Linked DNA regions of Arabidopsis thaliana. The protein of the gene in region 1 purifies or fractionates together with the protein of each later gene. This does not show direct contact. Each region holds a gene or a part of one and is shown on either strand. Other genes may lie near its edges.

Region 1 (6,754 bases):
GGAGCGTGTGAAAGCTGATTTCAAGAAGAGATATGGAGGTGGAAAAGCAAGTACAGCTATCGCCAAAAGTCTCAACAAGGAGTTCGGGTACTTAGAAAACATTTCAATATTTGAGGAAAATGTTCTATAATATATTGAATACAAGGTAATGGTAAAATTAAAATATTGCAGGCCGGTGATGAAGGAACACATGAATTATATTGTTGACCATGCAGAGGAGATTGAAAAACTAATAAAAGTCAAGGCTCAGGTTTCAGAAGTTAAAAGTATAATGTTGGAGAATATTGACAAGGTAATGCTCATCATTTGACTCTCTTATGTCTTTCTCCACACTTAAGACAAGCAACAAATCATTCTCCTTTGCTTTACCTTTTACAATGATAAGTCTGCAAAAATCACTGTGCTTTATACACCTCCAATATTGTTGATCCATTTTCAGGCAATCGACAGAGGGGAAAATCTAACAGTTCTTACTGACAAGACCGAGAATCTACGCTCTCAGGTAAAGGCAAACTTGACTCCAAACATTAAATTCATAGACTTTCTGTGATAGCCATTTTAATGTAAGGGTTAATTTGTATACTTTAAGGCGCGGGAATACAAGAAAACCAAGGGACACAGGTGAGGAGGAAATTGTGGTACCAGAACATGAAGATAAAACTGGTGGTTCTTGGGATCTTGCTACTACTTGTTCTCATAATCTGGATATCGGTTTGTCATGGATTTAATTGCACGGATTGAAGACACAACAAATTACTCTACGTGATGGTTAGAGACTTAGAGCTTTTGGCGGAGACAGGCGACAAACAGAGACAAAAGTCTTCAGTAGAGAGATTAGTAAAGAGAGAGAGAGGGGAACAAAATGGTACCATATGTATTGTAAGGTTTTGACTTTGGATGTTGTATTATTATATAAAGTATTTGTGTTCTTTCTTTGGGTGTACCATACTAATTCACATATTCTACGTAGCGTAATTAAAGGCGAGGATATCTTAAAACTTGCATAAAACACATGCTCAAGAGTCACTAGTCAAGGTACTCAAAACTAAAATCAGAATATGATCAAATTTGGATTAAAAAAACAAAAACAAAGCGCCCACCGTGGGGCTCGAACCCACGACCACAAGGTTAAGAGCCTTGCGCTCTACCAACTGAGCTAGACGGGCTTTGTGACTAATGATACCAGAAAAACTATATAACAGTAAATATTATTTCTAAACATTTTGCAACACAGCTTTGCATCCCAATTCCCAAGTGAGGAACAAACGTACAAAGGCCAAGACTTTGGGTTGAAGTTGAACTTTACAAGATTACGTTTGAAAAGATGATGAATATCAATCCCCTACTCTTAATGTGGGAAATTTTCAGTGTACAACATATTTATTCAAAGAACACCCTCAATATCTTTCCCAAAAAGTTATGCAATCTGTTTCAGAAAGATTTCAGAACTTAATTGGTTTAAACATCTCTTCTCCAGATTATTTGGCAGCAGTACACAACCTATATGCCCAGTAATAAGTTTTGAAGTTTTAAATCAAAGCAAGCAATCTGTTTCCATACAGAAAACTGATTCATCAGCTTACAATTGTAGCTTCTCGATACTCTTGTTTGAGAACAATTGAGACTTTCATAGATACAATACCATGTTCCACAAAATTTGTGACAGTCACATACCCTTAATACTCAAAGGCCAAAGTTTGAAGCTTGAAAACAATTTGAAGCTTTTGGACTATAAAACCAAAGAAAAATCAGCATAATCAATCTGTCTCAAAAATCAGCATAATCAATCTGTCTCAAAAATCAGCATAATCAATCTGTCTCCAACACATATCTGAATCATTAGGGTTACAGATTTGAAAATTAGCATATGTATGTAAATTTCCAAAGTTTCAAGCTTGATGAAGAATTTGAAGCTTTTAAGTATAAAAATCAAAGCAATATCAGGAAACTCAACCTGTCTCCAATACAAATCTTGATCATCAGGTTACAGATTTGAAAATTCGCATATGAATGTAAATTTTTTAGCTTTTACATACTCAAGAGTCTCACAAAACACCTCAAAAACAGATTTATAAAAATCGAGACTTTCATAGATCCAGAACCAAGTTCCACGAAACTTGTAACAGCTACATACTTTAAAACTCAAAGCAACAAGCAGAATCAAACTAAGACACAACAAAGACAAAACCTTTAAACTTTCAAAGGTCATCTTCACCCCTCAAATACTCTCCAATATCAGCCTGATGAAGCACAACAATACCATTAGGATCCAATTTCCTACAATCCTGTGTACTCTTCGCAGCAATCCCAAACCCTAACGGAACATCAGACATCGAGAACACAACAACACCATCTCCAGGAACAATACTATCAGTAATCCTCCCTAATCCACCTTTCAAGACATGGTTCCCATAAAGAAACGACATCTCCGAAGTGGGTTTAAGCCATACCTTGTGTTTAGCATTCGCCGCCAAGATATTGAGTGACATAATCGTCAGATGGAAACTACCGGCGTGAGTGTATTTCCCGATGCAGGTTCCGAAGGAGACTAGGTTTTTCCTGGAGATGTTTGTGGCTCGCTTCACGAGGGCTTCGCTGACGTAGTAGACTCTGTTTTTCTGGAGGCGGAAGCAGTAGCTGCCGGGTGTAGATTCGGGTCCTTCGTCTGATGGGTTCTCGACGATCTTCTTGAGGTTGTTGCCGACGAATTTGAAGAGCTTCTCGAAGACGACGGTTGTCTCGGTCTCGTCTAAAGGACGCATCTTCGGGGAAGAAAGTGATGAATAATGGAGAAAGAAGAGAAGCTCTCTGTTTCTAAGAGGGATTGTGTTTTTTTAGGGTTTTAGGGATTTAGGACCAAACCTAATGCGGCCGATGAGTTTTGTTATTTCGACTTTGGTCCTTTGTTTTAAAAATATCTATTGTCATTTCAACCTCGAAATTATTATTTTTGTTAAATCCAACCCATGAATAATTCACTTTGAATATTTGGACTTTGGAGGATAACTGAAAGTTATAACAAATTTGATAGTTCATGTAGTTTATTGAAAAGATGTTTAGTTAGAGATTTTTTCATGTGTAAAAATATTATAAGGAAATCATACAATGAATTACTAATATTATAAGGGCAATTGACAAAACAAAAATATATTATTTTAGAAAAAGGTATATATATTTCTAATATAAATAAATACAATTAATTACAAATATTGTATAACGTGTAAGAAAATAATTGTTTTAAATATATATATATACTTCTAAGATTAAGTAAATTATACATTTAATCACTAATACAGTAAAAATATTAAATAAATTATTAAAATTAGTAATTCTAACACAAGAAGGCTTAAATTTTTCTTTTCTTTTTTTTCTCTCTTCAGAATTGGTTTCATATAACGATCTGTGTGATACACAGTTTAATTGATATATGAATCGACAAATACCAATAAAAATCGCTGTGAATGAATATGTATAGATAACGAAAAATACGCGGGTCAAGGTACAACCACGACATGCCATATTGCCATGTGGCTTCAACCCCCACATATAAGTCCACGACATTGCAGGACATAACGATCATAAAATTTGGAGGAAATACAAATATAGAAGAATGGAAGAATTGGACATAGTAATCGTGGGAGGAGGCATTGCTGGTCTTGCAACTTCCCTTGCTCTTCACAGGTTCACTATAATCTCCTCATTTTCTCAATTATAAGGTAATTTAAATTAGAAAACATATACATGAACTATTGACTAACTAAACATACAAATATGATTATAAAGGAAGGGCATAAAGAGCGTTGTGTTGGAGAGATCAGAGTCTGTAAGATCGGAAGGAGCAGCATTTTGGTATTCAGACTAACGGCTGGCTTGCTCTTCAACAACTTGGTGTCGCCGATAAGCTAGCTTCGTCTTAAGTCTCTCCCAATTCATCAGTAAGTATATAAATATTTATATTTTAACTAACCTTATCTAGTTATAATGATTTCCGGTATGGTACTAAAACAGGATAAGAGATGTTTTGATCGAGAAAGGTATTAAACGAAGAGAATCGGTTGGACCAGCATCCTATGGAGAAGTAAGAGGTGTACTAAGGAACGACTTGGTTCGAGCTTTGGCTCATGCTCTTCCTCTTGGCACTCTCCGGCTTGGTTGCCATATTTTGTCGGTTAAGCTCGACGAAACAAAATCGTTTCCGATTGTGCACGTTAAAAACGGGAGAAGCTATCAAAGCAAAGGCACGTTTTAACAACAGTAGATATATTTATTGATCAATTATTGAGGTGATGCCGTAGTGGAATTTTTTTAGTATATACTTTATATTAGCCGACAGTGACATTTATGGGTCGTGATCGGTTTTAATGGTTTGTGTTTTGTTTGTTTTTCACTGAAAGCAACATGTTTAGCATGAAATGCATGGGTCTTATATATTTTGATAATATACTTTTCTTTTAATTTAGGTTTTGATTGGCTGCGATGGGTCAAATTCTGTAGTCTCTAGATTTCTAGGATTAAACCCGACTAAAGACCTCGGTTCGCGGGCCATCAGAGGGTTCACAAATTACCCGGACGACCATGGATTCCGACAAGAGTTTATAAGAATCAAGATGGACAACGTCGTAAGCGGACGACTTCCTATAACTCACAAACTCGTCTTTTGGTTTGTTGTTTTGCGAAATTGTCCCCAAGGTAATTAATAACCCGGTCATGCTACATTTCATACTATACATAGACTTCTATTGTTTTCATATAACGCACTAACGTATTTATAATTTGTTTTATAAATAGACTCAAACTTCTTAAAAAATCAAGAGGATATCGCAAGATTGGCACTAGCATCAGTCCGCGAATTCTCAGAAGAGTGGAAAGAGATGGTGAAGAATTGTGATATGGACTCTTTGTATATCAACCGTTTAAGGTACCGTGCTCCTTGGGATGTTCTGTCTGGAAAATTCCGACGTGGCACCGTGACAGTTGGCCGGAGACAGTATGCACCTAATGGGCCCATTCTTAGGACAAGGATGTTCGGCTGCGCTTGAGGACGGTGTTGTTTTGGCTAGATGCTTGTGGAGGAAGTTAAATTTAGGTCAAGACGGTATAATTAATGTATCTTCCTTCTCTTCAAGGATGCAAATAGAAGAAGCAATTGATGAGTACATTAGGGAAAGAAGAGGTAGACTCGTGGGGCTTTCGACACAAACTTATCTTACCGGTAGTTTAATAGCAGCTTCTTCGCCGGTTAGGAAGCTATTGCTTGTAGTTATGTTGATGATTCTGTTTCGTGATCAAATTGGTCATACTCGATATGATTGTGGCAGTCTATAAATTTATCTTATGTACGAACTGTCTAAATTGCGAGAGTTGTGTGCTTCGTGAGATGATTGTATCATGAGGTTGGTTACTCATTGTTCTTGCGAATGTTTCCTGTTTGTTCGCTTCTGATAATTTTTGTTCGATTATTAAAAGAACTATGATATTAGTCTTTCTCACTTGTGAGTTGTGAAAGACAAAAGAAGTCCAATCAAAAACTTATTTAAGAAAATTATGGGCGGTATCATCTGCAAAAAAATATTCTCAAAAACATTTTAATCCAATTAATAATTCTGGATTCAAGTTTTTTGGACCAAAAATAATCAATAATTATTCAAATACATTTTTCGTATATTTTGATGAAGGAAGAGAAGTCCATATCATTTGTGTTACAAAAACCCCACCCTAGTTGATAAAAGACTTAAAGTCTGCATTATAACATAAACAGAACCAAGAAAATGTAGAGAGAAATGTCAAATTATCCAGTAGCCCACTCAAAATGTAGAAGCTGAATCAATGGAGGTGATAGAAAACTTATCTAGAGAAAACCAGAATTGCAAAGGCTCAATTCGAAGATGTTTTTTTTGATGATCCCATCTTTATTCTTATATATATCAAAAGTTTAATAGTATAGAAGATCGATTTTTTTTTTGTCAGTTTAGATTTTTGATATACTAGGAAAAGCCAAAAAGATAAGTATTGAGTCACACTCATTACAACAAGTACACAAAATTGATATTGGATGGAACTAGTTGTTTTATCCAAAAGCCGAGTTAATGTAAGTGGCGTCATAGGCTTGCGTCAACAGGTCAAGTTACTTCATAAACAAAGAGCGCTTGTTTGACTCGCAAAGACCCACCACACTCACGTAAATTGATTGTCTCCCAAGTAATTTAATTGTCTTAATGAAAAGTCTTCGCTGTTCCTCTACTCTATATAAATAAATTAAAAACACTATACTACATGTTACCTATAGGACTACAGATATTAAAACAACTACCCAAACAAAACTTTAGATCTGAAAATCTCAGCTTTGAAATGGAGGAAATCGGAATAGTTATCGTCGGCGGCGGAATCGCTGGTCTCGCCACTTCCATTGCTCTTCATAGGTTTGTTATTAATTTATTTTGTAATGAGACTCAAACTTTATGAATTCCATATGTAAATTAATATTTGGTGTGTATATTTTTTTTTTAAAATGTAGGAAAGGAATAAAGAGTGTGGTGTTGGAGAGAGCAGAGAAAGTGAGATCGGAAGGAGCTGGAATCGGAACTCTCTCCAATGGTTGGAGAGCCCTTGATCAGCTTGGCGTTGGTGATCGCCTTCGTCTCAATTCTTCTCTTATTCACAAGTAAGTAATATTATTCTTTTTTAACCATAACTTTATTATTCATTATATGTTTGTTTTAGAATTTTGATTTATGGACCTTTCTTGGATATGAAC
Region 2 (7,828 bases), on another chromosome or scaffold:
GATCTTCGTTACAAACTAGGCGTCGATGTTCCACCTACGCCGAGTTTGCGGGGGGCTATTAGAGAGAATGCATCTTGTGTTGAGACAACAACTCGGATTGGTGAAGAGAAGAACCAGATCAGAGCTGTGATCGGACACGAAGCAGAGGAATCTGTAAAGGTAAATTCTTCAGATGACATTATCAAGAAGGTTCTGAGATTGGGCCAAATTGAGAATGCAGCAAACCTCAAGCCCAATAAACAACAGGCCCAAGCGCAGACCCTAAACAACTCTCAGCTCCAACGGTCATCTCCTGCAAAAGAAGACAAAACCAAAAGTACATCAAGATTGGATCAAAGGACAAAAACAAGGAGCTGTGCTGGAAAAGAAGGAGTGGTTTTACAAAACTGTTTTGACTGTCTAGGATCAATAGAGACCTGACATGTGTCAGTGAAAACCCTAGTGTCACTAAGATTATAATGCCTATGAAAGGAAACATGATGTAATCTTAAACCCTAAAGAGAATAATCAAGAGAAATGAAATTTATCTTCTTTATATTTAGCCTTTGAGCATCTTTACTTTCATTGGTTAAGAGAACACTGAAAGCAACAATTCATATGTATAAAAATCTGAAAAAATAATTCAACATTCTAATTCATTAAACGTAGGATTTACAAAAGTCCCACTTTGTCTCCCATTTTTAGTCATCGTTCATGATGGTTGTATGCGAATAGTTTGATGAACAACTATAATTATTACATTTAGTTTGTTTCCAACGAGCCATATGTCAATGTTTGTTACGCTACAATTTTTATTTTTCTTATTTCTTAAACTTTTTACTTTGGAATAAGTTGATATGTATATGAATCATCTACCATTTCTCGTTTTTTCACAATAAATCCTAAATTTTTTGAACATTTTGTCTATATATAACTTTTCCATGACATAAATTAACCTTAGATAATATTGTATCTAAAGGTATAAACTACCGTTCCAAGTCTGATTAAACTATTGACCCTAAACATTTTTAAAACTGTTAGATCCACAAGACGCACAACTAGTTGATTGCATAGTCTTTTGAAACAAGACAAACAAACACTATATCAAAACAATATCATCTTTCTAATTTTATTTTAGTTATGTCGCTATCTATATGAACGATTTTCCGATAAGCTAGTCATATGCAAAAGATTTATAAAAAAAGTAATATGTTGACGAGGAAAGTGATAGATTGATAAATTAAGAACATAAATGTTTTTGAAAAGAAATTATAGCTAAACTGTCATAAAATAAAATTATAAAATAGATTAACTTATATATAATAGAAGCAACTTCAGTTTTTTAAAACATTCATGGAATTAACGATGGATATCGAAGTTTATTGGTCAACCTAAAATCATACCCATACATTTTAGTATTTATTGGACGACCTCAAAAATCAAAGTCATTGTCGACCATTGTAATACAGTTAATGTCGCATACTATGCCTCTGAATCATCCATCCATATTTTGTTAAAACGAAGTGAGTTTGTTAACTACAAAATTTCCAATTATTGGACTATACATTATATTTTGTTTATCCACAGGGTTTTTCACATAAATTAAGAAAATACAAAATACTTAAGATCTTGAAAAATTATGTAAGTTATTTTCTTGCCGTCTCATTTTATTAAAGATAAAACAGAAAAAATAAACAAACAGGCCGAGGCCCAACAAGGTCAAGGCCTAGTCCAAGAAGCGAAACCCAAACATGGAGGAAGAGAATGAGAGGAGTCATCACAGAGCCAGGTGTTACGAAGAAAGTGAAACTACAAGTACAAGCATATAGTACTAAGTACTAGTCGCAATTTGGTCACAGACATAATTTCCTCGAAAACTGGGTACATTGTAATATTTCGTCGGAAAAACGTCGCAAAATCTAATTTTTAATCGCCGAGTAAGATGTTTGCGTCTTCTCAGAATCTCCGTGAGTTGAAGGAAAATGATTCGCGGCGGAAGAAACAACATTACTTCCGCTCCGGCGTTTTCGAAAGACGCAAAGAAGCTTCTTTTATGCACAGCCAACACCGTCTCTGTTTACAGCGTCGCCACTGGCTTAAAGGTTTTATCTCTCGACTCGAGCATCCTTCCTTTTAGGGTTTCCCTCTAATCTTCTTCTCTCATTAGCGTATGCGTGTGTGTGTTTTTAAGATTACTTCACTCGAGGATCATACAGCGCCTGTGACGTCTGTGATTGTTGATCCGTCTTCCGACGAAACCGTCAGTTACTGTTGGACTTCGTCGCTCGATGGGAAAATTCGGATTTGGGAGTTCTCTGCGCCGAAGCTTTTGAAGATATTTGATACCCACCTTCCAATTCACTCTCTGGTCTGTTAAAGTTCCATACTTTGCAGCTTATAAACAAAAATTTGATAACTTTCAATTGCCCTTTTCTAAGTGTCTGTTGGGACTTTGTAGGTGATGATTCCAGCTCAAGTGTCACATTCCGTGATTGCTTATGTTTCGGTTGAGGACTATTCAAGTGTGTCCAAAGATTTGTTTGGACAAATCCGGAGATATGATCTCACTCAAGACCCTCTTCATAGTGGAGACACTTTGAAAGAGGTCAGATTTGTGGATTAACCATTTTTCGATTAGCCTCATGTTTGATTCTATAATCATTTTTGTTAATGTGCAGATGGAAGAACCAAAACCTATTGTTTTAAGTCCCTCTGGAGAGTTTTTCGGCGTCTGTCATAACTGCAGTATACATATATGGAATGTGGCATCAGAGCACCTCATGCCAAAGGAGACGACATTACATCATACAGAGTTGATTACTGTTTTTGCTTTCCATCCCAATCAGAGAATATTAGCAGCCGGTGATGTAACAGGAAGAGTGTTAATTTGGAAGGATAATGGTATTGGAGAATTTACTTCAGTGAAAACTGAAGATGATACTGAATCTTGCACTACTTTCAACTGGCACAGCGCTGAAGTAACCGTCCTTAATTTCTCTTCAGATGGAGCACTTTTGTATTCTGGTGAGTCTGAGTTATTTTTTCATCATAGTGACTGTATCTCTGTGTGTTGATAAGGAATTCATGTTTCTTATATATATATATATTGAGTTCTTATGCTATATTTCCTTTGCTTGTGACTCTTTTAGGGGTAAAGGCAGGTGATTTTGTTGTTTGGGAGCTAGGTACAGGGAAGAAGCAACTTTTGCCAAAGATTGGATCTCCCTTGTTGTATTTCATCTTCTCTTCAGATTCAACTCTTTCTTCTGTAAGAGTTTTTCCGTTTACAACAACCGTAGAAAGCAAATGAAGTGTTTCATTAACTCTACTAAGATCAAGAATTTTCAGGTGATTTGTGCAGATAATCAAATTCATCTTCTTAAAATGCCTTCCATGGAGATATTGAGAACGATATCTGGAATCAAGGTTCGTTCTTACTATCATCCGAAATTTTTCCTTGTTATTGTTGGTTTAAGCATGCTCATATTGTATACCGTTTCTGTTGGAGTTAACTTCACATGCATATTGTGTTCTTTACTATGTAATAGCCTCCGACACCAGAGCGTCACGGGTTTATATGCTACGTCAAAACGCGGGATATATGCCTCACCAGAACTGTATCCATTGATCGTTCTTCCGGTATAGCTGCTTTCTGCACAGCGAATCATCGTGTTCAACTCTACAACCTTTTAAGTGACCATGACATTTCAGAGGTTAGCTTCCCAAAAGGCTTATTGAGTTTTGTATCTGATAGTTGTATGATTTTACTATTTAACAAACCTAACATATGCAGGTTCAAATTTGCGATCATCATCCAGACGATGATGATCAAGTCCGGGTTAGTACATTTTGTTTCTTCTCTGTAAGATGACATAGTTGTTACTAGTAAAAGATCCGCTCTCTTTCTGTTTTGTAATAATTTGAAGAATTATGGAAAATAGGTTCTCGTGACTGCGGTTGCTCTCTCTCGGAATGGCTCAGTAATGACTACAGCTGAGGCCAGATTTGCTGCAAGCAATTTCAGTGAAGGCATAGTTTCTCTCAAGTTTTGGGTATTTGTACCGGACAGCAAAACTTTCAGCTTATCGACAGTCATAAATCAACCTCACAGGTTTTTACTTCAATGTTCTTATAAACTTTTAAACTCCTTGATTCTCATCGTGAGTGTAACTTTTGATCCTTCTGTATTCTCACAGGGAAGCTGCAATTACAGCCATTGCCCTTAACCCCGCCCGTTCCATGGCTGTTAGTATATCTTCTGCTGGGGACTTCAAGGTAGGATTACAGAGTAGTGAAAAATGGATCATTTCCTTGGAATATCGTTTGACCTTTTGTGTTACTGATATGACTTTATGTCTGTCAAGATTTGGGTTTGCAGTAGCGACAAGAATCTGACACCTGAGGACTCAAACTGGATTTGTCATGGAGTTGGCTCTTATAAGTAAAAGATTAGGAACCTTTTAACATCTCTCATTACTTAGTCGTTGTGATGTCAAATGAAATTGATGTAATATTTTTCAGGAGAACGCCAATAACAGCTGCTGTTTTTTCCGGGGATGGTTCTTGTCTGGCTCTTGCGGCTAAAACAGTTATTACGATCTGGCACCCGTTAAAGAACGAACTCCTGTATGTAGTTGGAAAGGCAAATGCGGTAAGACTTGTATAACACACAAAAGCAATTCCATGTTCATTAGTTACAGTCATTGTTGAAATCTTAAATGATATGTAAATGTTTCAGCCAATTATGGAACTCTCATTCACTGGAGGAGGCTTCCTTATTGCTGCATCCCATGGTTCCACACCGCACTTATCTGTCTGGGATCTGATGACGTTCTGCTTATCATGGTCATATAGATTATACATAGAAGGTTTATTATTTATCTTTTTGATCATGAAATCTTGATTTTTTTGGTTGTCTAAGTATATTTCATTTTTCCTGTTTATTTGCAGCCATTGCTACTGAAGTGGACTCACCATACTTTGCAGTTTTAACATGGCTTCCAGAATCTGATAGGTTGGTAAAATCTAACGAACAGATATTCCGCGGGAAAGATGGTGCTATCCTCTTGTTTGATGGGTCAGGCCCTAAACCAGTAGCTATTTGGACTGTAATGAAGGTATATACTCTAAGGAAGGATTAATCAAAGTTCTCTCATTGCCGTTAAGAGACTTGATTACAATGTTTATTGCAGGCCAGAGGAGGAACACTTTCATTTGTGGAAGATGGTAAAAAGTCTCAGCCGCTTCTCGCGTATGTAAACAGGAGCCATGAATATGTTCTATTTGATCCTTATAGCGATGAAAAACTCGAGACTAGCGCCATAGATTATGAAGTTTTTCTTGCAGCAATAAGCAAAAAGAAGAAGAGATCTAGGAAGAAAGCATTGATGTCAGAGAAACCTTGGGAAACAATGTTTTGTGGATCAACACTCAATTTCCCGCCTTTCCCCGACTTGTGCGCTTCGTTCTTCAGTTCCCGGATGCAGAAAGAGGTGTGTGAGAGAGCAGATAGACAACCTGAAAGACATAGCTCTTGAGAGACCCCATATTTTGGAACCCAACTTGGATAACATCATTTTGTTGGTAGCCTTTTTGTTAGAGATACAATCTGATTCCTTCAGCTACTAAAAGGGTTGTTTTGATATTAAAAGGGCTTCATTCATCATGTAGAACCTGCTGATTTGAGGTGTATAAACCAATTCTCTCTTTAATACGTAAAAAAGTAAGGTCAATTGTAACGTATGGAAAAAGAAGAAGCTAAAACAGAGTAGTGGACGATAAATTATATTTAAAATTGTGACTGAAACATAATTTAACAAATTGAAAAACATAAATCGAAAGCAATTTGTGTTTTAAAGATCGTAGTCCGCAAGGTTGAGTGGGTTGCAAGTATCCTAAGTCGTATGTGGTCAAGCAGGAGGATTCATGGAGGCTGCAGGAGGAGACATCATCGGTAGGAGGGTCTCGGGGTCAAAGCCGTTGGCTCGTAGTAAGACATCTTGCGCTCGCTTCATCGCAAGCATGTTGTTGATGACGTTGTTGGAGAAGGTGCGGAATTCAGCCTCCAAAATGGTGACCCGCATATCCATGTCTAGGTTAGGCTGGATGTGCTGGTACTGAATTGAGCCAAGTCCGTCGTAGTCACACCCTTTGGTTGATGTGACGTGCTGCAAAAGAAACGAGTATTATAGAGATGGCCTTCAAACTTGGTGAACAAGAAATCACAAGGGAGAGAGAAGAAAACAAAGATAGATAGACCTCATGGGAACGTTCATCAGAATTGGCCCGGAGAAGATGAAGATCGGCAAGGATGTGTGTCAAAATGGAAGCCCTAAAGAAATCAGAGAGGGTCTTCTCTAGCTTCTCCATTTTCTTCATGAGATATAACTGTCGAATCATATTCCAACGATTGCATGTTAAGAATTTGTCCATGAGTTTCTTGCCCTTCTCTAGAGACTCAAAGAGTATACGGATTTGAGCCTGGCGGTGAGCAGGCAGCTCAACTCCACTGTACTGGATCTCTTTGATCGTCGGTTGAATGTTCTCGATCAAGGTGCTGAGGTTGTCGGCTGTGTTTTTGTACCGGCCTGCTCTCGCAGATATCAGAAAGAGCTGCTTCAAAAGCTCCGTCGCTATCTCACCGGCGAAATAATCAGTGACGGCCATTTAGTAAAGGATATGTTAAAGAGAAAAAGTGTGGAGATAGAGAGCTGAGAGACAAGGGGATATGAACTAATTAATCTGTATAGAGGAGGAATTCACCGGTGGAAGTTTCCTAGCAACTCGAAGTGACAAGTGACATCTCCATATAATATTTGTTCAAGAGTTCAATGAAGAAGAAACAAGGAAATTAATGAGAAGGTAGACGTATATTTTATTTTGGCATATTGTCTTGTTTACAAATTTTTAATTAAGGTTTCTTAGAGTCAAATTACTGACATATACACTGACGTAATATGATCATATTAAATCGTTTGATTGGTGTATGTACATATTACTGCTGAGTTTGTGGTTACAAGCAAATCTTATAGATTCCTTTTTATTTTTTACTTTTTTTCTTTAAAACTTAAGCAAAAACATAAACATGACCATATTGTTATAGATTCTAAAAAGTTCAAAAACTTAAGCAAAATTAACGTCAATGAATTACAATACCAGTTGTATACTATTAAATATAAACAAATTATAAAACGACGAAAACTTATCATATATTTTTCAATCCTGCTCTTTAAGGCAATATCAGAATATTGGATAATAAGCTTAAAAAGCAACGTTAAAAAAAAATGAGAGAGATATTTACATTTTTTGTAGTGTGTGTGATGGTACAAAATACAAAAAAAGAATTGTGCTTTTATAGAATAAAAGGTTAATATTTTATTTTACCTTTTGTTTTTTTTATTTATTACAAAATTATGGACTGCCGTTGGACCACTCACATTAACGTATGAGAAAGAACTGTACGCAGTTAATCTACTTTTATTACTAAAAAAGCAATAAAACAAAAATTGTATGCAGTTAGCCGCCTGATTTTTATTTTTTTGCTTATTAAAAATTAAAAACAGTTTATCTGTCACACATTTTGGACTACCAAAAATCTGACTTACCATTCAAAACTTTTAATATCGATCCATAAAATGCAAAAATAAATTAATCTTTTCGTTCTACCTCAAATCTCTAAATTAATAAAAATATGTGATTTTAATTTATACATATTTTCATGTATAAGTATAACTTCCACACGCAAGCACAGTCACACTATCAAATCTATGGATTCAGGTTACTTATGACACGACGATTATATATTAATATTTATCAATCACTATACAAATATGACACAACATCACAATTC

The links.
Region 2: the proteins of AT4G15770 (region 1) and AT3G26480 fractionate together in Arabidopsis thaliana (co-fractionation; one large-scale study listed by BioGRID). This does not show direct contact.

The regions. Positions count from the first base shown.
Region 1 is NC_003075.7:8,974,068-8,980,821, reverse strand, and holds AT4G15770 (RNA binding protein), read right to left. Parts: upstream 2,928-6,754; 5' UTR 2,763-2,927; coding exon 2,199-2,762; 3' UTR 1,878-2,198; downstream 1-1,877. Other genes in the region: AT4G15765 (FAD/NAD(P)-binding oxidoreductase family protein), read left to right, coding at 3,611-3,681, 3,784-3,849, 4,009-4,207, 4,461-4,689, 4,789-5,039; MO1 (monooxygenase 1), read left to right, coding at 6,274-6,419, 6,515-6,661, 6,721-6,754.
Region 2 is NC_003074.8:9,684,961-9,692,788, reverse strand, and holds AT3G26480 (Transducin family protein / WD-40 repeat family protein), read left to right. Parts: upstream 1-1,822; 5' UTR 1,823-1,961; coding exon 1,962-2,081; intron 2,082-2,170; coding exon 2,171-2,347; intron 2,348-2,437; coding exon 2,438-2,584; intron 2,585-2,657; coding exon 2,658-3,003; intron 3,004-3,128; coding exon 3,129-3,247; intron 3,248-3,327; coding exon 3,328-3,405; intron 3,406-3,527; coding exon 3,528-3,692; intron 3,693-3,772; coding exon 3,773-3,817; intron 3,818-3,920; coding exon 3,921-4,090; intron 4,091-4,175; coding exon 4,176-4,254; intron 4,255-4,343; coding exon 4,344-4,420; intron 4,421-4,500; coding exon 4,501-4,630; intron 4,631-4,717; coding exon 4,718-4,847; intron 4,848-4,929; coding exon 4,930-5,096; coding exon of another isoform or gene 5,097-5,120; intron 5,121-5,146; exon of another isoform or gene 5,147-5,171; coding exon 5,172-5,516; downstream 5,517-7,828. Other genes in the region: AT3G26470 (Powdery mildew resistance protein, RPW8 domain-containing protein), read right to left, coding at 5,889-6,146, 6,238-6,645.